Linked DNA regions of Diceros bicornis minor. The protein of the gene in region 1 interacts with the protein of each later gene in a pairwise test. Links are inferred from orthologs where the notes say so. Each region holds a gene or a part of one and is shown on either strand. Other genes may lie near its edges.

Region 1 (8,095 bases):
GTTGAGAGTAGGTGAGGCCCCCTTATTTTGGGGGAGGGGGTCTTTTTGGATTTCTGCTGTCAATTCAGAGATGCTGGAAGGGCAAAGGAAAAGAAGCCAGAGCAGTGACAGAGAAAAGGAGATGAAAAGAAATTTATGATCTGGGATTGTAACCTCAAAGACCACTCTGGAGTCTGCTTTGATTAATTGCCCGAGGCATGCTTGAAGGTAGAAACTTGAGAGAGAGGGCGATAGGGACGTGTCGTTCTGGGACCAAGCAGGCGTCAGCCCTTGCCTGGCAATGATGAGTGTGTCCTACACAATTAGTTGTGGGAGATGTCAGGGAATGTCCCAGGGGTTGCCAGACCTTGGTCTTCCCATTTTCAGTGTAGCTGTGTAACGCTTTGAAGAAGCCCAAGTTATTAAAACATTCCTTTTCTCTCTGTCTTCTTAGGTGTCCTTTCTGGTAACTGGAGGCCCAGACTTGCCCACAGCGTTTCTCTTGAGGCTTTTGTACTTTGGTATATGCTTCCACTAAACTGAAACCTTGGTCAGAAAGTTCGACTTTATGTTAAATATTTTGAAATGTAAATGAAAAGAACTACTGTATATTAAAAGTTGGTTTGAACCAACTTTCTAGCTGCTGTTGAAGAATATATTATCAGAAACACAAGGCTTGATTTGGTTCCCAGGACAGTAAACACAGTAATACTACATAAATCAAGCCATTGATTTTGGGGAACAGAAGATCCATAACTTTAGAAATACGGGTTTTGACTTAACTCACCAGAGAACTCATCATAAGCATTTGCTGATAGAAGAATGGCCTAGTTGTTCCTCTCAACAAGGATACAGCCAACGCAGCACAGTCAAGAAGCCTCAGGTCATGGAAGACATGTATTAGGATTCTGGACTGTAAGGAAGTGAGAGAAGCCAACTTTGTCATTTTCACTTATCCCATTACCTCACTGGTCCATGGACAGCAACAACAACTTTTGCAAAATGGGCCAAAATGAGTGGAAAAGGTCTGTCTCCTGCCTCACCTTGATGCTGCGACTTACACACTTCAATCCAAGACCCGAACTGCTAGGAGAGGAGTTTCTTCAGATTGCTGGGCGGCTCAGCTGAGCAGGTGCACAGAGGAGATCGTGGCGCAGTAGGGTGGCCCACAATGGCCTTCCCCAGCACGATTCTGGGTGTTTTCAGTGAGGTCTGATGCTCTATGTTTAGAGCAAGGGCTTGGAAAACAGAAATGCTGTCATGGAGGTGCTGAACACAAGAGAGGCCAGGTCTAGTACATGTTGGGAATTACGAGCAAAAGAAATATTAAACTAAATGCACAAAGTATAAAGTGTAGCCATGTCTAGACACCATGTTGTATCTGAATAATTTTTGTGCCAATAAATGACATCAGAATTTTAAAAACATGTATATGAGTGGCTTTTTATTCATGATCATTAGTTCATAAAGGAAGCAGTTATTCCTTCAACATTCATTAAGCACTTAGTACTAGCAACTACACAGGATGTGGGATCTACACGACGTGGTCCCTCTCCTCGCGGTGTTCACAGGCCAGACAAGGCAGAGGCGGCGTCACCTAGGAGCGGACTGACAACTCCACCAACCTAAGCGGTGAGAAGAGCCACGTCCAGAGGGTGAGCGTAAGAGGGGGCACTAACTCACTGGGCGAGCCAGGAAAGCCTGGGGGAAAGGGGGACATTTGCCACGGGTCTTAAAGGAGGAGTGGGAGTTTGTCAGATGAAGCAGATGAGGACATTCCTGGCAGAATCGAGAGATAAAAGCACAATATCGTGCAGCAATGGCAAGTAGTAACTTGAACAAGATTAGATTGCAGGTATTCAGCCACTGTTGATACATAAAATGGCAGTTTCTCACAGCTGGACCTCAGAGTTCAGCATATCTGGCTCAGTGGTCAGTACGGAATAAAAGGAGTAATAGGAACTAAAAGGAGGCTACAAAGCAGAGTGAGGCCAGACTGGCCTTGCCTCAAACGGCAAGGAGTTTGAACGTGATGCTGTGGACGACAGGGAACCATGTGAAGTTTTAAAACAGAAGTAGAATCTGAGTCGTGTTTTTAAGAGCCACCTGGTGTCAAACAAGTGGAAAGAAAATGAGAAGCCACAAGATCTAGTCAAGAGGCTGTTGCAATAATGGAGAGGAGAGAACATTGAATGGAGCTGGCCAGTACTATGTTTGGGTTCCTCTAAAGAAAGAGCACACCTGGGGGCCTGACCACGGCGTAGCGGTTAAGTGCGCGCGCTCCTCTGCTGGCGGCCCGGGTTCGGGTCCCGGGTGTGCACTGACGCACCGCTTGTCAGGCCATGCTGTGGCAGCGTCCCACATAAAGTGGAGGAAGATGGGCACGGATGTTAGCCCAGGGCCAGTCTTCCTCAGCAAAAAAAAAAAAACGAGGACTGGCATGGATGTTAGCTCAGGGCTGATCTTCCTCACAAAAAAAAAAGAAAGCATGCCTAAAGAGAAGTTCTTCCAAAGAAGATCGTTTTTAGTTGTTCAAGTAAATTTTTTTTTCTAAATTCCTATGGGCCACAGCTACCCAGTGAGAAATACTGTATCATTATAAAAGCTATTCAAAGAACTTGTGTTAGGGGAGCATGAGAATTACAAGGCCAGGAGGCATATCGTATGTGACTTTGTATCCCCAAAATCTGCCAGAAGACCTAGCCCACAGTGGTATTCCATATAGGTTTGTTTGAGGACTCTTCTATTAAAAACAAAGATGGATTTTTTGGATTTTTAGTGATACTAATAACAGTTTTAACCTTCACAGCTAGAAAATCTCATACCTATCTTAAATTTTCCATGAACAATCTTGTTGTTGTTGTGAGGAAGATCAGCCCTGAGCTAACATCCATGCTAATCCTCCTCTTTTTGCTGAGGAAGACCGGCTCTGAGCTAACATCTATTGCCAATCCTTCTCCTTTTTTTTCCCCCCAATGCCCCAGTAGACAGCTGTATGTCATAGCTGCACATCCTTCCAGTTGCTATATGTGGGCCGCAGCCTCAGCATGGCAGGAGAAGCGGTGCATCGGTGCACGCCCGGGATCCGAACCTGGGCCGCCAGTAGTGGAGCACGTGCACTTAACCACTAAGCCACCCGGCCAGCCCTCCATGAACAATCTTAAACCATGTATCAACTTTTGTGACAGAAAATGTGATCACCATAACTTTCTTGGTTCTACCTGAAATAATTATCAATGACTACAGTGATCTTACCATTCATGAAAGATAAAGGGCATAGGAATGAATGGACTCAGGGAAATTGTGGCAATCAGTGGTAAAGACATACCTCAGGACAGGAGAGTCATTGGGATTAAGATCTTTGGTGATGGGCGGGCCCAGTGGCTTAATGGTTAAGTTCGCCAGCTCCGCTACTGGAGGCCCGGGTTCGGATCTCAGGCGCACACCGACACACTGCTTCTCCGCCCATGCTGAGGCTGTGTCCCACATACAGCAACTAGAAGGATGTGCAACTATGACATACAGCTATCTACTGGGGCTTCGGGGAAGGAAAAAAGGAGGAGGATTGGCAATAGATGTTAGCTCAGAGCTGGTCTTCTTCAGCAAAAAGAGGAGGATTAGCACGGATGTTAGCTCAGGGCTGATCTCCCTCCCCAAAAAAAAAAAAAAAAAAAAGATCTTTGGTGAATCCAATGGGTTTTAAGTTACATCTAAGCAAATCCTTTGTTGAGATGAATTACCAGGGGCAAGTGAGGAAATAATCAAGGCATTTGAAGACAGTCTAATTACCCTATCAATCCAGATTGTTTCACACAACTGCTTTGTGAAGGGAGGGATGTGGCAAAGAATGACTTTGGGGGTCCTTACATTCACAGGGTGCCATAGGCTGGGCCTTAAAACTCTGGGAGGCATGTAAAGTGGTTTGTAAGAGTCAAGGCTGTAGTGTCAGATTGCGTAGTTTCAAATCTCAGCCCCACATCATACTCCCTGTGTGACTTTGGCCAAGTTACTTAACCTCTCTATGCCTGTTTCCTCCTCTGAAAGTGTGCATAATGGTGTGATCTACCACATAAAGGTTGTTTTGAGGATGAGATAATAACCATGGAAAGCACTCAGCACAGCCTCACATGTGATATTACGTTGAACTATATGAAATAAGTGCTCAAAAGTATTAGTTGTTAAAAGGAACAAGGCTAGGCCTTTGTTCTGCCAGGGCACCTGTGTACCTGAGGTACACAAATTGGGGGGGAAATGAAAAGTATCCTGCTAAAAGAATACTCCGAATAACGATGACAGGTAACATTTGTTGAACACTTACTAAGTCAAACGACTTGTATTAAGGATGTGCTACCCCGATCTTAGGAGAGAAGATACGCCCTGCTGAGCTTCCCAAAACCCATCCCCTGAGCTGCGTGATAATACAGTGCCTCCTTCATAACTATGCTCTTCCAGGCATTCATTTAACAAATGTTTGAGTTCCCACTATGCCTTACCAAGAGTGGCTCCAGCGGTGTAGATGGGGAGGAACGTCTGACTGCAGGAGTTCGAGAGCACTGGAGGTGACTAAGTACAGGGGGAGCAGGCAGACGTCTTTTCGAGTTCACCTGTAAGAGGCAGGAGAAATGCGCCGGTGGCTGGAAGGAGGCGTGGGGTCGTGTTGTTTTTGTTTTGTCTTTTTACTTGGGAGAGATACCGTCACATGTGTAGGCTGTTAGGAATGAACCTGTATCCAGGGGAAAGATAGGTGATGCCAGAGAGAGGAGATAATTGCAGGAGCCACGATCAAGTTGGGAGGGGGAGGCACGGAACCAGAGCTTGGGAGGAGCTGACTTTAAATATGAGAATAACTGGGTCCTCCGGGTCCCACCCTAAATCACAGATTGTTGGGACGATACAATCAGGTTAAACAAAAGATGCAAAGCCCCCCCGGTGGGGCGCTCAAGCCTGAAACCTCAACGCACGTTGCCCGCAGCTCGTCCCCCGCGACGACAGCCTTTGCACATGCGTGGTGCGCGCATGTCGCGTCGGCCCGAGGCACTCTCGCGAGAAGAGCCGTGCAGGCCGGGAAAATGGCGCTTCCCAGTCCCGGAGATCCCAAAGCCCCGTCGACAACAAGCGCGGCCAAGTCCGACGGAGAGATGGTGCTGCCGGGCTTCCCGGACGCAGACAGCTTCGTGAAGGTGAGCTCGCGGGGCCTTGGGGGCACCGGGAGCCGCCCGCGGCCGGCCGGAAGCAGGCCCGGGCCCTCTCTGCGGCCGCACTCCCGGCCGTGCGCGAGCCGCAGCAGAGCCCGGGCGGGGGGCGAAGGGCCGTTACCCGCGCCGGGCACAGTCTCTCCCTTCACCCCCGGGGATGGGGCCTCGCACGCGGACGCTGAGGGACGCTCTGCTTCCCAGGGCCCTCGTTCTCTCCTTGGAGCGCATGCAGCTCTGAGTGTGGAGCGCCGTCTCCGCGTCGTGGGAAGGGCCTCCTTGTCACCCTGATGTCCCCAGCCCCCCCCCCCAGGCCTGAGCCACCCATCCAACTCTCCGGAGGGACTCCGCAGCTTTAGGCTTCCCACAGCTGCCGGCGTCCTCCCCTCGCGCCTCTGGGATGGCCCTTCTTCCCTCTCCGGAGGTCCAGTCCTACATAATCCCCAACCCTGGGTTTAATGTCCCCGTGAGAGCTGTCACCGAGTCAGCCTCCTCTAAGTGCGTTAGCACATTTATCAATGCCTTCTTGAAGGAACACAGGGTTCAGTTAAATTATTTGTGTATTGATGTTTAAATATGAACAAACATAAAACTAGGTTTAAACGCCTCATGCAAAGCTGTTACGAAGCCATGAAGCTAAAATAACTTGTAAGTTAGCACTACAAGTTCCAAAAACTCCACTCACGTTATATCTAATAAGCAGATGCTATTGTTAATTCATTTATTTGGCTCTGAGTTGTTCCTGGACCACTAGCCGTGGTCCTGATTAGGTGGCCTTTGTGCTCACAAGCCACCATATACTCACGTGACTCAAGTTCCCACCTCCTTTCTCTCATTTTTTTTTGGAAAATGTTTATTACGCAACTCACAATGATGTCATTTGGCCTTCACCTGACCAACCATCATTTATCTATGACAGTCACTTCAGGTTTTTTCTCATGACCACACAATTAAAATAGACAACTACTTGGGGCCGGCCCGGTGGTACAAGCGGTTAAGTGCACGCGCTCCGCTGCGGCGGCCCAGGGTTCGCCGGTTCGGATCCCGGTTGCGCACCAACACACCGCTTGTCAAGCCACGCTGGGGTGGCGGCCCATATAAAGTGGAGGAAGATGGGCACAGATGTTAGCCCAGGGCCAGTCTTCCTCAGCAAAAAAAGAGGAGGATTGGCAGGTGTTAGCACAGGGCTGATCTCCTCACACACACAAAAAAAAATTATTCTGAAAAAAAAAAAGAAAACGTAGACAACTACCTGGCACTAACTGGACCATAAACACAAGTCCAGTTGTGGGCAGTAGCCATTATAAATTGGTCATCCGAAGGACCTAGAATATTCTTATATTGTTTTTAGATGCTCTTCCCAAATGAAAACACAAAAATAATTTTCTGTAGAAAGCTCATGGACCTGAATTTGAGTAGTAGTAATAATAATGGCGCTTATGTGCCAGGCGCTAGCCTAAGTGATGTATGTAGTTGTTCTTTCTCTCCCCACTCTCCCAAGAATATAAGCTCCAAAACTTGGTTTCGTGTTCACCATTGTTTCCTTAGGACCTAGGGTAAAATCAGCACTAAATGAATATTTTTTGGATGTGTAAAGATAGGATATCTTCATCATCTAGCACAATGCATTATATGTAATGCACATATATAGATCTTGAAAAAAAGTTGCTGAATGAATGGGGACTCCTGTTTAAATAAACATGCTTGTTTTTGTGGTTTTTGACAGTTTGCTCTTGGGTCAGTGGTGGCAGTCACCAAGGCATCTGGGGGCCTACCACAGTTTGGCGATGAGTATGACTTTTACCGAAGTTTTCCTGGCTTCCAGGCATTTTGTGAAACACAGGGAGACAGGTTGCTTCAGTGGTAAGTACTACATATTGTTTTCTTGTGTTGAAAGAACTGAATATAAAGAAGTAGATAATTTTTCCTAAAATTTGTTTTTTCTTTCCATAATTTTCTATACTATAAAGAGCTCTGAAATGTAAAAATGAGACAATGGATTTTTTTTTTTTTTTTTGGTGAGGAGATCAGCCCTGAGCTAACATCCGCCAATCCTCCTCTTTTTTTTGCTGAGGAAGACGGCCCTGGGCTAACATCCGTGCCCATCTTCCTCCACTTTATATGGGACGCCGCCACAGCATGGCTTACCAAGCAGTGCGTTGGTGCGCGCCCGGGATCCGAACCAGCGAACCCCGGGCCGCCGCAGCGGAGCGCGCGCACTTAACCGCTTGCGCCACCGGGCCGGCCCCGAGACAATGGATTTTGATTAGGGAAGCGTTACTTGGTAACTTTTGAGTTTAACCTTTAAAAAATGTATTGACTTTTGGGCCAGCCCAGTGGCCAACAGTTAAGTGCACGCGCTCTACTGCAGCAGCCCTTGGTTCAGATCCCAGTCGCACACCAATGCACTGCTTGTCAAGCCATGCTGTGGTGGCGTCCCATATAAAGTAGAAGAAGATGGGCACGGATGTTAGTCCAGGGCCAGTCTTCCTCAGCAAAAAGAGGAGGATTGGCATCGGATGTTAGCTCAGGGCTGATCTTCCTCACACACACACACACACAAAAATGTATTGACTTTGGATGCCGGCCACATGATGCAGTGGTTAAGTTCAGCGTCCTCTGCTTCGGGATCCGGGCACAGACCTACACCGCTCCTCAGCCATGCTGAGGCGGCACCCCCCACACAGAATAGAGGAAGATTGGCACAGATGTTAGCTCAGGGCTAGTCTTCCTCAAGCAAAAAAAAAAAGAAAATGTATTGACTTTTGCATCTATGGACAGTGAATCTTTTTGAATTAACATGGGACTTGAAAACCTAGATCCAAGATTCTCTAACACAACTTGCAGAGTCACAAGTATTAGCTTTCTAATAAGTGTATTAGGACAGACAATACACAAACATTGATTTTGTTTTACTGTTGCAT
Region 2 (7,632 bases), on another chromosome or scaffold:
ACATTTTTTTGCAACTTCCTATGAATCTATCATTATCTTAAATAAACATAAAAGAAATGTCTGCAATCCTATCTGAAGTGTTTTGTGGTCCTCATCCTTTTGCCTCTGTGTCTATACCCTCACCACAGGAAAGAATTGGCAGTTTCTGGAATGCATCCCCTGTACCTCCCAGTCCTTTTGCCCCTGCTACTCAACATCATGCTTCCATTCTCTGCCTGGCAAAATATGCACTTGCGAAGGTCCAGAGCACACGGCCTTTGGGCCTCCACTGACTGTTGTTTGGCCAAGCTCTTTCCAGGCATGTTCCTGTAAAAGAATACCTTTTCCCATTTCTAAGACAGCCTTATAAACACTGGCTTTTGTTCATTATGCTTCTTCTGTGTCTCCCAAGACTGAAATTCTGAAGAGCATACCATGTCTCTTCTTCATCTTGTATTACCGGTACTCAGGCTGCACCTGGTACCCAAAAAGAGTTCAGTAAAGGTTCTCTGAACGTAAGTGAGTCTAGACTTGTCTTATTTTTCCAGATTCCCTTTCTTGGACGGTTCTCTTTATACCCAGATGCCTCATTTCATCACTTATAGTTTTATTGGTAAAATTCACCAATCCTGCCCAAATGCCCTTTTATCTTCTATTTTTAGTCAAGGAGATATTATTATGGCATACAAAATAGCTGTATATATATAATAGCTGTACACATGGAATATGTGTATATGTGAATATGAATCAAGGAACTCGACTTAGGTAGCAATACAATTCTCCTGACTCTACAGCATCTAAGAACACACTCCAAAGTGAGTGATTTAGCTTTATTCACAGCTGAGGGACTAGAGCAGTTATCGCAAACTATAGTCCCTAGGCTGTTGTTATAAATAAATGTTGTTATAAATAAAGTTTTACTGGAACAAAGCCACCTCATTCAGTTCTGCATCACAATGGCAGAGCTGAGTAGTTGCAACAATGACTTTTTGGCCCACAAGCCTAATTTATTTATTATCTATCCTTTTACAAAAAAAGTTCACCAACTCCTGTCTTAAGAGTCCGAAAGAGCTAAAAATCACAAATAAGAGCCCTCTCTACAACCATTCCATCACACTGACAGACCTCCCATACATCCTTCACTTTCCACTGCCCATCAGGATCACCCACCAGCCCCCAGTAGCTGACCAGGTCAGATGACTTCAAGCACACCTGAAAACAAAGGAGTCAGTATTAAATCCTCAACCCTCTCATTCTTGCTCTATACTTAGCTCTAACAGCTACACTGGATATGGGCAACCTAATGCAGCTTGCTCCTTTCCTTCTCAAAGGACACTCCACTCTATCTGTATACATAGTGTCTCCTGTTATCCTGCCAATAAGTTCTTCCTTTTCAATAACTGAAGTTGCTAACCCAACTAGAGAACCTGGGTAATTTTTTTTCCTCTCCTTTGCTTCCAATATCCAGTTGAGTCTCCCTCAACCACTCGGGTAGGGGTGGATAATTTTTTTTAAGTTAACTTCTTCCTTCCTAACTCCAGAGTCAGATTTTTGGTCTGAGCCCTAATCACCCAGCACATCTTCATCTGACTTATTCCAAGAGCTAAAACAACTTCTAAAATCTTTTCAATGCCTGCTTTGTCAATCCATTCTACGTCTCTGAAATCTACATGATTATAAACCATAAGCCAAAAGAAAACTCTGTTCAGTAAAGATTCAAATTTTGCTAATACGCATCAAAGAAGTACTTTAGAAACTATAAATTATGCCACGATTTACCCCCACCCTCACTTGCCCTATTCATCACTAGTTACACCCGAAATATTACTTATGCTTCTTTTTCCTGGAAATTCCACAACTCTCTACACGTGACATCTAACAGTCTGCATCTGTAAGTACTGTGTTCAGCGACAAGCAGTATAGAGTGGTAATTAGGAGCAGGGGCTTTGGAGCCAGACTGCCTGAGTCTGAGTCCTGTCTACTCTACTTACTAGCTGTGCAACTTTGGGCAAGTTACTTACGTTTCTGTTTCAGTTGCCTCAGCTGTACCACTGTGCCCACTTCAAAGGGATATTATGTGGATTTCATGGGTTAATATATGCAAAGCACTTAGAACAGTGCCTGGCACACAGCAAAAACTATAAATGTTTGCTATTAAGTTTCAAGGTTTGGTTGCTTCCTCTGTTTTAATTCCTGTATTCATTTTATCCACGCTTGTCTTTTTTTCCCCCTTTGAAATTATTTGGTTAAACTGACTTAATTTCAAATCTAAAAATCAATTTTGCTTAAAGTTGGGTGACATAACTCGCTTTCACCTCAACTGCTATAATTCTCCCCGTTCCCATCACCACTGTAACCCTCACTCAGATCATCAGAACCTCTAGCTGATCTTTCTGACAGCAATTTTGTGCCTTCACCAATCTATCCTCCACCGGACAGTTAAGCAACCTTGAAAAGAAGCACAGCTAACGATACTGTTCAATAGCTTCCCAATGTTCACAAGATAAAAGAATCCCTAATCTGGCCCCAAATTCCTTACATAGTTGTAACCACTGGCTACCTTCCCAGGCCCATTTCCTGCTACTTGCCTTCCAGACACACTGAATTATTTTAGTTCTTGGAAATCTCAACGGATTTTTTGGGTTTTGCCTCTCAGACTTCTGAACTCGCTTTTCCCTCGGTTTACGTCGCTGTGCACCCCCTCTCCCCCTTCAGTCTCTACCTGAGGGCCGCTCCGCGCAGAAGCCCAAGGAAGTTCCGGGGCTCGCGGCGCTGCACTAACTACACTGTATCCTAACTGCTTGCTCACGTGTCTGTCTCTCCTATCCGACCGCGGGCTTTGTGCGAGAACCCGCCGGATTTATAATCCGGTTCCTAATGCCTAACGCAGAGCAGGCGCTGAATGAATGACGGAACGCCACAGCTGGAGGGCTCCGGGGCCTCTCTGGTGCCCCCATGCGCTCGCCGCCTCAGCCCCGGCCGGGTCGGGGAGACCAGGTACCCCTGCCGCCCGGCCCGCCTCCTCCACGTCCCCGCACCTTCATGCGCAGCAAGTTCTTAGACAACTTAGTCTTGCGCTCGGCCGCCATGCTGGCTCCCACCCGGCGCTCCGCCACTATCCCCGCCGCGCATGCGCGGTGCTGCGTGCGCAGCGGCACCGCCTTACGTAGCGTGCGTCATCCCGCACCGTGGCTGCGCCCACGTTTTTCGCGCTCGAGAGCGTCCCGGGTGTTTCGCGCGTCGCCTCAGGAAGCGCTCGCCTGAGGGGAAAGCTCGGGGTGAGGCCCGGCCGTCGAAGTGGAGGGAAGAGCGACTTAACCCCGGGAGGGAGACGTCAAAGAGGCCGCAGTCGGAGGAGGCCCGGCCGCTCCGACCTGTTGGCCGCCTTCCCCGAGGGCTTTTGCCGGGCCCCCAGCCCCCGTGCCCCCGGTCCTGCCGCGTCGATGCCTCAGTCGTCCTGTGAGACCCTCGAGACGGTTGCCACACCACGCCGCAGGGACTGTTTCTCCCACTTTTCTAGCATGGATGGCAGGATTCCAGTGTTCTGCGTCGTGTAATAGTTCATACTCGCCGTAACCCCGTGGGGGGCACTGGCGTTGTCCCCATGTTGCAGTTGAGTAAACTGGGGTATAGGGAGGTTCCTTAACGAGCCCGAAGGAGAGTGAGGGAGGTGGGTCTAAACCCAGGCAGTCTGGCTCTGGAAATACCACGGAAACCGTGGTCAAGTCGGCTGTTCACGGCTGTGTGCGTCTTTGAACCTAAACGATGTTTGTGTTGAATAGGGGAATAGCAAGAGATAGTCAACGCCGTGAGGTGGCGAGGACGACCTTCTTTGAATCTGAAGAGCTGAGATGATAGCTCAGTGCCCTGTGTACCACCTCGGGACGTTGCTCACACCCTTCACAGGTGCTGCACTTCGGACGACACCCAACCTGATAGCATTTCAGCTGAGAGCCTGCACCATGTGCCACGTTCTTTTGCTGGCTACCTTACGTGTGTTATCTAGTCCTCGTAAGAACGCTGAAGAAGATATTGTTGTCATCCTATAGTTAGGGAACCCCAGGCCTGGAGGGGTTAAGGGCCTTACCCGAGTTCACACAGCTAGTAAGTGTTAGAGCTGAGATTCAAGAAACATGATAAAAACGTGGCCCTGCCCTGGCAGGTTTTCTCAGTGGAGTGGATAAAGGCATTGCAGTGTGGTAAGCGGTTATGGAAGTTCGTTCATGACTACGGGTAGACTGGGCCAGGCTCTGGGCAGCCATAGTGTGTAAAAACACATGCCCTCCCTTTCCTGGAGCTGGCATTCTTGTGGATGCCGTGGAAGAAAGACGATGATGTGGTAGAGCGACCTGTAGGGTTACTTTAGGTAAGGTGATCCAGGATGGCTCTTGTCAGAGGGCGGTGTTAAGGTTGAAAGTTGAGAAAAACCTGTTGTATGAAGAGTTGGAGGTAGAGTGTTCTAAGAGGAGAGACTAGTGTCTGTAAAGGTCCCAAAAGGAGAGCAAGACAAGGGAACAATAGAGGTAATCACATGTTATGAATTGAATTGTGTCCCTCCAAAATTCATAAGAATTTTGGCTCAGAATGGACTGTGTTTGGAAATAGGGCCTTTAAAGAGGGATTAGGTTAAAACGAGGCACTTAGGGTAGGTCCTAATCCAGTCTGACTGGTGTCCTTAGTAGAAGAGGAAGTTTGGTTTCGTAGGGAGACACCAGGCATGCACATACACAGAGGAAAGGCCATGTGAAGACACAGCGAGGAGGTGGCCATTTGAAAGCCAAGGAGAGGCCTCAGAAACCAGACCTGCCTACGCTTGTATCTTGAGTTTCTAGCCTCCAGAACTGAGAAAATAAAGTTTTGTTGTTTAAGCCTCCCAGTCTATACAATTTTGTTATGGCAGCCCTAGCAAACTAATACACATAATTAGCTATAGATTACAGTTGTAATAAGAGCCCTATAAGAAAACTAAGGGGTTTGTGAGAGTATATAGCAAAGGAACCTAAACCATTCTGGCTTGGAAAAGGAAAGGACTCTTAAAGCTGTGACATTTAAGTGGAGATCTGAAAAGGGAGGATTTAGCTTGGGGAAAGGCCTTCCAATCATTCAGTTTTATGCTACCAACACTCCCATACATCCACACAACACTTTTGACTTTCCAAAACAAACTCTACGCATTAAACAGTAACTCCCCGTTCCCTCCACCCCCGGCAACCACTATTCTACTTTCTGCCTCTGTGAATTTGACTTGTGTTCAGGATTTGGAAAGAAGTTCTGTGGAAGCAGAGGTGAAGAAGTGACCCAGTCTACCATCTGCAGCTAGGAAACAGCTGACATCTTGAAGGATGAGCATGTATCTTGTCAGCTTAAGAGGAAAACAATTCCTGGCAGAAATAAGAGCGTCCTAAGCTGCTAGAAGTTCCACGCCTTTCCTATGGCCTTCTGTTGTACCAGTCTACTTGCACACTGGATTCTGATTCATTTTCTTGAAACATAGGCTTCATCATGTCACTTTCCTACTTCAAAATTTACAATAACTTATTGTCTGAGGAGTAAAGGTCAAATTCTTCAACCTGCCACTCCTACATTTTTCTTTGACAATGAAAATACTTTTAATTAAAACTAATCCCTATAGTCTCTTCCAACCCATCAAAATGTAATAAATGAGAAGTGATTTAAGAGTAATAGTGTAATTTTAACTTTGAATTAAACTCCCTGTCAGGGAAGATAACTCCTTGATCTCTCTATGCTACTAAGTTGTAGAACACAGAAGATAAGTCTCTCACTCAGTGTATTAACCTGTTTTAGTTACACAGCCAAGGAAACATTGTTTTTAAGGAAGAGAGATTTCTGTAGGTCTTCACACATACAATCGATTTTGAATCCTTTCCTAATAGAATTTCTTAGAAGTGTGAAAACTTCCAATTCCTTCCAGTTACTGTATCCATCAAGAAAAGGTCCCCTGAGTCTCTTCACTCTTGTAGCCGACCGTATCTAAGGCTGTGCAGCCCAGTACAGGAAGCCTAGACATATGTGTCTGCTGAGCACTTGAAATGTGGTTAATGTGGCTGAGGAACTGAATATTTAATTTTAAACTTAAAAACTAGAAGTGTAAAATATTTTCCCATTATATATATTTTATTGCTTTGGAAAGACTGCATTTGACTTTAACCTTTGAAAATTTAGCATCTGAGTTGAGATGGGCTAAGTTTAAAATAAGTACCACATTTCAAAGACCTGAAATGAAAAAAGAGTAAAATGTCTCAATATTTTTTCATATTGATTACATGTTGAAATAATAATAGTTTGAATGTATTGGTTTAAATAAAACCTAGCATTAAAATTGATTTCATCTTTTTTTTTAATGAGGCTGCTAGAAAATTTAAGATTACACTTATGGCTTGCATTTCCTCCTCTTTATTTAGTAGCTTTTGTTCTTTTGTTTGTTTTGCAAGTACCAGAAATTGATAATGGGTTATTAAATGGGGATTTATTAGAAGGATACTAGATAGTTCATAGAAGTAGTAACAAAGCCTGAGAACAAGGCCAAGTTAAAAGGACAAAATCCAGGGCAGCCCAGGGATCTAGGAAGCAGGAATTAACTTAGTGCCACTGCAAGAATGATGAACACCAACTGATTTCTCTGCTTTTAGGACGCTACTCAAGTTTTCAAAGTCTAGGAGAGAGTCTCATTGAGTTAGCTAAGAGAGAGCAAGACCTGTTCTATAGTCCCTGTAGGACTATGCAGAAGCGGGGAGGGTAATTCTTTAAAGAGAACTTGGGTGCTGTAACAAAGAAGAGGTAATCATTGTAATAGCCAAAACAGCAATGTCAAGGACAAATATCTATTTAAGGCAGGAAGGAAGAGAGTTCTGTTGACACAGTCCCAAAGGACAAATAATTGGTAGTGTCAGCTGGAAAATGCACATCCAACATGAAATCTATCCCTTCTCACAGAATGTGCTCCCTCTTCCTGCTTCCCTGTTTGATTTGGTGAGGAAGTATTTATTGGCTGCCTGTTACGTGCAAATTGTGACTGTAGGACAACCAGTCTAAAAATCTAAGTAGTGTAATACATCCCTTCTGCTCTTACATTCAGTTACTTACTAAGTCCTATCTATTACTTGTTCGTGGTTATCTTGGTTAAATTAGAACTTGGTGCTGGAAGTGACCTTATGGGGCATCCAGGTAAGTAATTCCTAGACATCAGTCAGTGGTTATGACAGAATGACCAGGGGAAATTTAAAACACGTCAAAAACAAAAGTCATTCCTAATTATTGGATGATTGTGATGATCAGCCAGGATTTGGAAACTACTGAGCTAGATGAGTCTCCTAATTATATGTACCAAATTGCATCAACTCAGAATTCAGGTTTGTGAACTCTCCATTTGGCTTTCTTTTTTATTGTGCCCCCATTCTTTCCTTTCTTTCCATTGTCATGAGACCATCCCTGAATTTAATGGCTAAATCTTATTACTTTATGACTGTGACAGCCAAAGTCTCCTATTTTTTCTGCCCCCTGCCTTTTTCATTCTTTAACCAATATTTTTGAGCATCTCTTATGTTCCTGGCCCTTTGGTAGGTGCTGGGGGAACTACCTGAGAGTATGCCACAGACAAGGATACAGGTGCTCAGTGGTGTCATAGAGATAGGA
Region 3 (7,012 bases), on another chromosome or scaffold:
TATAGTGGGCAACAGCAAAAGCTCTGGAATCACTGACCTGGTTCAAATGTCAGACCCATATTTTTTGGCTGAGAGACTCTGGGTAGGTTATTTAATTTCTTACCATTCAACTTCCTCATCTGTAAAATGGGAAATTAACAGAGCCTACTTTTAGGGAATGTTAATGAGATCAAGTGAGATGTAAAGTCCCTAACAACCTGGCAAGGAGTAAGTGCTCAAATCTTATTATTAGGTAACACCTCAGCTTTATGGAGGGAGAATCTTAACTTAGGTTAAGTAAACTCACAGAGTGCAACATACTCAAAAAAGCAACAGGCTTTGGAGTCAGCTATATCTAAGTTCTATTTGTGAGACATGTTCCTGTACACATTACTGAACCTCTGTAAAACAGGAGACAAAGAGATAAATTATATCTCAAATGATTCTTCTGAGGATTAAACTGGATAAATCTGTAAAGCACCTAATACAAGGTGCCTGAAATACAGCAGATACCCAGTAAATAGCAGCTGTTGTCCCCTCAGTAAATAGTAGCTATTGTCCTCTCAGGCTTCTCTTTTGAACAATCTCGATTTTCTACACATTTGCACAGATTAAATGCCATCACGGGACAAAAGGATGTCACCAAAAATCTCTCAATTTCTCAGATGACAAATTTTCTAAAAATTAAAGGTGGTGAGGATTTTTTAAATGGTTTTATTTAGTATTTTGTGAATGTTCATAAATTAAGACTCATTAAACTTGGGTCATATTATCTAATACTCAAAGGTGAAAGCTCTTGGAAAATGAAAACAAATACTAAAAAACTGACACCTGACTGCTTAATCAACAATAGAATTATAGGTGTCTATAATAAGTATATGAAGCTAATTTGGTAACTTAAATCTCAGTAAGACATATATTAAACCTACCGCTTTAATTCCACAAATTACTGTAGTATTTCCCAGCTTCACTAAAGCAGAACCATCGGCAGTACTAATTGAACCTGAAAAGATAAGTATTTAAGCAAAATGAAGACCATAAGAAGTATTTTCGTTTTCTATGATTTTATCTTGCTACACATCTCAGTGGCTTATGAAAATTTATTCCTAGCCTGAGTCTTTTTAAAATGGTATAATTATTTAAAATTATTGTTTTAAGTATTATTCACCTGTCCTTGAATTTGTTAATCATTTTCATTCAGGCACAGGACTGTTATACAGATAAAAATCTCATGACACAAAATCATTGAAATCCCTTAAACATGGTAGAATTTGGCTGAAATACTGTTTAAGTGGCTGAGAGGCTACAACTTGGCAATGTCATACAGGTAAAACTAGAAAATTCAGTGTTTGCAACAGAGGATTTAATAAGTTTAAGACATATAAGAACACCCTGTGTTGGAGATTCTGAAGGAAGGAAGGGGAAAAATAGTTACTTTAAAATTTTAAATAACATATCAATTGAGAGAACAGTGAGTTTAAAGAAAAACTTTACAAACAAAAATTCTTTACTAGTATTAAAAATCAAAGCAACTTCAACATTCTATTAGAATTCAAAATATCCTCACCTATGTTGACAGTTGTGGTTCTGAATTCACCAAGTTCTCTTCCATCAGGACGGCAGTTCTCTTTCTAAATATATTTTTATGAAAGATTACATCTATATTTTACACACACCAAGGAAAACACATTAAACCTCGTTAACTCGAATTAATCTGAATTACTTGAAATTGTTTTTTTAAATTGAGGTATAATTAACATATATTAGTTTCACATGTACAACATGGTTCAACATTTGTATATATGAAAATTGTCTTTAAAAGAAGCATAAGGTATTATCAAAAGGCATAGCATGTACATAACCACCTTTACTCACCAAAAATCTCCTGTAATACTCCAGAGGTTCCACAGTTCTGAAACACGTGTTAAAAATATATCTGAGGTAAGTTAATGAATCTTAACATAAATCCAGAAATTGGCAGTGTGGTGATGCAGCATAAATTTCCACAATTTGTAACTAAGAGTCTTTCATGAATTCTGATGTTTGTGTTGCCACATGTAACTAATTATAAAAAGTAGATAGGCTTGCAGGAGCAATCACACTCGACTGCTGTCCTTAATTCTGCGTTAAACAATTACAGGATTGGAGCCCAAAGTTCTTGTGCATCTTTAAAAGAGGATTAATCCAGGTGTTAAAATAATGATGTCACTCTCGCTCTGAAGCAGGAATTCTTGGTGAACATGAAAAAGAGTTACATCTTTACTTTCACTATCTAAATTACACTGAAATTGAGCATATTCTTCAATTATGACTGTAGGCAATAAACCGTCATATTAGCAGTATTTGCGACTTTAAAAAAATCAGAGATTAAATGTTTTCGTTTTTACTTCATAATTGTCGAAGGTATGTTTAGACTCATTGTTACTTTGAAATTCCAAGAGTTAGTTACTAAACTCCCCACAGATTTTGTTGTTTAAGAAAATCAACTTTAAAACAAGTACCTAAAATACCTGAACTCGCAGTTTATACAGATAACTGTTTCAATATAATTGGTTTCCTTTGAAATCTTATTTCATCCATTTAAAAACTTGCCTCTGAGAACGAAAATCTATAGGCTTCGCCAGAGCGGCACAAAAAAGGTTTAAGTAAAACCTTCCGAACAAGGCATAACCCTTTTAGAGATAAATTACAGGAGAGGAAGAATACGATAGCGTGTGGTTCTGATGCAACACTTTTTAAAAGATTACAACTGTGCCTCCTGGCGCCGCACGTCCACCACACACCAAGCCACAAGCGCTCGCCCCAAGTACCGAACTCGAGGCACAGTCCCTTCCATCCTCCCTTTCGGGGAGAAGCCCCCTTTCCTTTCACTACGACCACCTCCGGTCCTGCCGCCTCTCGCCCGCTTCCGAGGGGGAAAGAAGTGGGAACCTAGTGGGATGCCCTCCAGGTGACAAAATCCCAGCTAAGGGTTAAAGGAAGCCGCGATGCACCAGCGCACAAACTCGCGCCCGCCGGCCACCGACACTCACTTGAACCCGGCCGCCATCTTCCCGCCCGCGTGCCTGCGCCGGCGCCGGCGCCGGGGCGACCCCGCGCTCCGCTCGCGCGCCTGCTCCGCCTCCACACTTTGGACACGGACGCCTGCGCCCTTCTCCCGCTGCAGAGACGCAGGAGGCTGGGGCGCCGCGAGGGGGCGCTCGCACTACGTTCGCTTCCACCGTCCGTAGCCGGACGCCTGTCTGGCTTTCCTTGCCTTAGAGGTGTTTTGGCGAATCTGCTGTTAGTGAAGTGACGAGCGGCTCTCTTTAGAAACAGTCTGGAAGTTCAAGAATTTAAGAGAAAACCGACTAACAGCCAAGAATCTAGTATTGAGTGTGGAGCATTATTCCAATGTTTCTCCGTCCTTTCCCCGCCTCCGGCTCAGACCGGGCCCTGGGCTTGTCTTCTCCCAGGTAAAGGGCTCCCTGCTCCAGCACCGGAGAAGCACGTTCTTTTTCTGTGCGCTCGTATCCGCGCCAGGTTACTCTTTGCAGGTCCCCGGAGCGGGTTCCAAAGGAGCAGCTTGTGTTGAAGGCTGTGTCGTGGCTTACGGCTTCCGCATCCCTCCTTGATAGGGTTGCCAGATAAAATACAGGATATCCAATTAAATTTGAATGTCAGATAAACAAAGTATTTTTTTCTTTTTACTATGAGTACGCCTGGAATAGTGCATGTTACTTTGTTGTTAACAAGGGCTGCGGGGAGCAGGGAAAGTTTTAGAAATAGAGTGGTGATGGCTGCAGGAAATTGTGAATGTAATTAGTACAACTGTATTGTACACTTAAAATGGTTAGAATTTTATATTTTATTTTATCACAGTTTTAAAAAATGTAGTATACCAACACCTTTTAAGTGGATGGGTTGTATGGTATGTGAGTTATATTTTAATAAGGCTGTTAAAAAACAATTAGTTGCTTATCTGAAATTCAAATTAAGTAGACATCCTATATTTTACTTGCTAATTCTGGCAACCCTACTAGGGAAACACAGTGCCTGCCTCTCCACCCTCTGAGCGCCTAGCAGACAAGAACTACTAGGTGTTCTTCGCCTTGCCGCGCGGGGGCGCTGTGGGCGGCGGCTGGTCCCGGTCGGGCCGCGCGGGGGCGCTGTGGGCGGCGGGCGCCCGGCCGGCGCGTCCTCTCTGCGGGCGGGAGGCGGGGCTGCCGGCCGCGCTTCCGCGTGTGTGTAGGTGCTGGATAGGGCGGGCGCGGCGGCCCGGGCATGGAGGATGGTTCCGCTTCTCCTGCAGCTGGCGGTGCTCGGCGCGGCGCTGCTGGCCGCAGCTCTAATACTGGTGAGGAGAGGGGTTGGGGACCGACGCGGGCCTGGGCTCACTGCTCTCCTGGAAACGCGGCCCCCAGGCGTCCTCGCCTCCGCACTGCCCGCTCCTCGTCGTGTCCCTTTTTACCTTGCTTCCCCCGAGCCTGGACCCCAGAATTTCCTCTCCTAGAATTTCACGCCCCCTTTCTTCCGCTCTTTATTTTTATTTTGGAGCTTTATCTCCCTTTGTGCTCAGAGCCTTGTACGCTTGTTCATTTTGGGACGTGCTCGCCCAGTCTTCACTTTCCCCTGGTACCCGGACCCACTGCCCACCCGCCCTGTGTGCCCCGACCTCTCCCGGACTTCTTCCCGGGTCTGCAGCCTCTGCAGGTCTGGCTCCGTCCGGGGAGGTCTTGAGCCCCCAGAAGGTGTGTGTGGTTCAGCAAATAGGAAGTGGTGACAGCACTGACAGCAGCCGTCTGTTACAGGTTGGAATCAGTCGTTGGATGGGGAGACCCCCTACGGACATAGGGAGACCAAAATAGATGAGGCCTGAGGTTACCATATGTCTGGAGGTCTTTATCTCCCAGAACTAAACACCCTAAATTTGCTGCTTCTAAATGAGGCAGTACAATGGAATTCAAACTCGAATTTTCTTTGCCATTACTCTGGAAACACGGAAATACATTGCTGTTCCATAAGTAATAGAAAATTTGCCAAGTGACCTTTCTCCCGTATAATTTGGAATGGGCCTGCCATCTAGTTAGTAAATGGAGAGGTTTCTGCTTCCTTGACATTCAGATTAACAGCCTAAATAACACTCTGCTGTCTTGCCGCAAATATTGTAAACTCACAGCTGGAAACAGTTTCGATAGAGAAAAAGCAGTGTATCTTGCCATCTTTCGTGATTTGTGTCTGAGTGAGAAAGAAGTCCTCTTTCCCTTAGTGGTATATAGAGGTTTCAGGGGTTTTGTGGGGCAGAGTTTGACAAAATCCTACATTGGATCTGCCTCATGTTGAATCTGTTGCACAAATCTAAATGTGTACATTATGAGGTTGTGCTGGAAGTATTTGATCCCACTAGCCTGAAGTGATTATGAGAGCTACCATTTATTGAGTCCTTACAATATGTTGGGTATTCAGTGTTTAACAGGGATTATCTCATTTGATGTTGGAAACAACACTGGCATAAATGTTATCATTAACTTCATTTGACTGGTGAGGAAACAATTTGGAGAGGTGAGCTCATATATGCAAATATCACATAGCTAGGGAAACTTCGTTTTTTAAAAATGCTAGAGCATTTAAATCATTCCCCCTTACCTAAAAAAAACCACAACTAATCTTCTATCTTATATATTCAACCTCCATACATGCTTCCCCCCCCACTTCCTTTGTGAATTATTTTGAAGTAAATCCAAGACATAACATTTTATCTGTAAATCCTCAGCATTTGTCTCTAAAGGTAGGACTCCCTCTTAAAAATAAAACCACAGGGGCCGGCCCGGTGGCGCAAGCGGTTAAGTGCGCGCGCTCCGCTGCGGCGGCCCGGGGTTCGCTGGTTCGGATCCCGGGCGCGCACCGACGCACTGCTTGGCAAGCCATGCTGTGGCGGCGTCCCATATAAAGTGGAGGAAGATGGGCACAGATGTTAGCCCAGGGCCATCTTCCTCAGCAAAAAAAACAGGAGGATTGGCGGATGTTAGCACAGGGCTGATCTCCTCACAAAAAAAAAAAAATAAATAAAACCACAAAAAGGTTGTCACAGATGTTTTTTTAAGTGTAGCCATTATTCAGTGATGTCAAGTATCCGGTCAGTTCAAATGCCTCCTGTGTGTCTTGGTACAGTCAGGCTGTTCCAGTCAGCATTCACACACATAGCACTTGAGCAACATGCCTCTAGTCTCTTAATCGATAACCTCTTCTCTTCTCTTTTTTTCCTTTTCCTTGTCTCCAACAAGTGGTCATTTGTCCTGTGTCATTTCTCACAATTTAAATTTCACTGATTGCATCCCCTTGGTGCCTTTTAACGTCTTACTCTGTCTCCTGAATTTCTTGTAAACTGGTAGTTACATGTAGCGACTTGATCAAATGTGTGTTTGAGTTTTTTAATCAAGAAAAGTGTGTGAGTGATGCTGAATACCTCCTCTTTTATCACATCAGGAGGCGTGTAATGTCTGATTTTCTCTGGTGTTAAGATGGACCCACAGGTTCAGGAGTTGTTAGCCTGACCCACCATTTATCAAGCTTGTTATTAACCTAATGGTTTTAGCAGTCATTGATGATCGTTACCTAAATCCATTATTTCACTGGGAGTTGCAAAGTGAAATATTCTAATTGTATCATTCCTTCGTGTATTACCTGGAATTCTCTAATGAAAAAAAATCTCATCCTTGGCTATTCAGTTACCCTGAAATACCTTTCATATATAAAAGGTAAGATAAAAAAGGCAAGTTTTCAAAATAATGAGATAGTTGCCTGGAATTTTACAAAAGTGACCAATTTTTTATTTTTAGTATCATTGTGAATCCATAATATAAAATATATTTCATATGTTTCAATCCATTGCAGTAATTATTCTTTTTGGTGCTCAAATCCTCCCATCATAGGCCAGTGGGAGCCCCTCACGTTGGCTACTTTGTCCTTTTGGCGTGGCCCTCACAGTCGTGGATACCTTCCTTGCTTTCTGGTCTAACTGTTCTTCCACTGTTGTACATTTCCTGCCCCAGAC

What was found.
Region 2: the proteins of EXOSC10 (region 1) and MPHOSPH6 interact in binary tests that used the Homo sapiens proteins (3 or more experiments, as listed by UniProt). The link is inferred for Diceros bicornis minor from reciprocal best matches to the Homo sapiens genes EXOSC10 and MPHOSPH6.
Region 3: the proteins of EXOSC10 (region 1) and EXOSC8 interact in binary tests that used the Homo sapiens proteins (3 or more experiments, as listed by UniProt). The link is inferred for Diceros bicornis minor from reciprocal best matches to the Homo sapiens genes EXOSC10 and EXOSC8.

Annotation. Positions count from the first base shown.
Region 1 is NC_080752.1:30,363,400-30,371,494, reverse strand, and holds the start of EXOSC10 (exosome component 10), read left to right. Parts: upstream 1-4,997; 5' UTR 4,998-5,048; coding exon 5,049-5,159; intron 5,160-6,897; coding exon 6,898-7,034; intron 7,035-8,095. Other genes in the region: serine/threonine-protein kinase mTOR, read left to right, coding at 434-449. UniProt on the Homo sapiens protein: Catalytic component of the RNA exosome complex which has 3'->5' exoribonuclease activity and participates in a multitude of cellular RNA processing and degradation events.
Region 2 is NC_080771.1:31,512,236-31,519,867, forward strand, and holds the start of MPHOSPH6 (M-phase phosphoprotein 6), read right to left. Parts: upstream 3,097-7,632; 5' UTR 3,069-3,096; coding exon 3,018-3,068; intron 1-3,017. UniProt on the Homo sapiens protein: RNA-binding protein that associates with the RNA exosome complex. Involved in the 3'-processing of the 7S pre-RNA to the mature 5.8S rRNA and play a role in recruiting the RNA exosome complex to pre-rRNA; this function may include C1D.
Region 3 is NC_080748.1:19,385,162-19,392,173, reverse strand, and holds the start of EXOSC8 (exosome complex component RRP43), read right to left. Parts: upstream 3,072-7,012; 5' UTR 3,029-3,071; coding exon 3,012-3,028; intron 1,892-3,011; coding exon 1,855-1,891; intron 1,611-1,854; coding exon 1,547-1,610; intron 983-1,546; coding exon 909-982; intron 1-908. Other genes in the region: ALG5 (dolichyl-phosphate beta-glucosyltransferase), read left to right, coding at 4,250-4,315. UniProt on the Homo sapiens protein: Non-catalytic component of the RNA exosome complex which has 3'->5' exoribonuclease activity and participates in a multitude of cellular RNA processing and degradation events.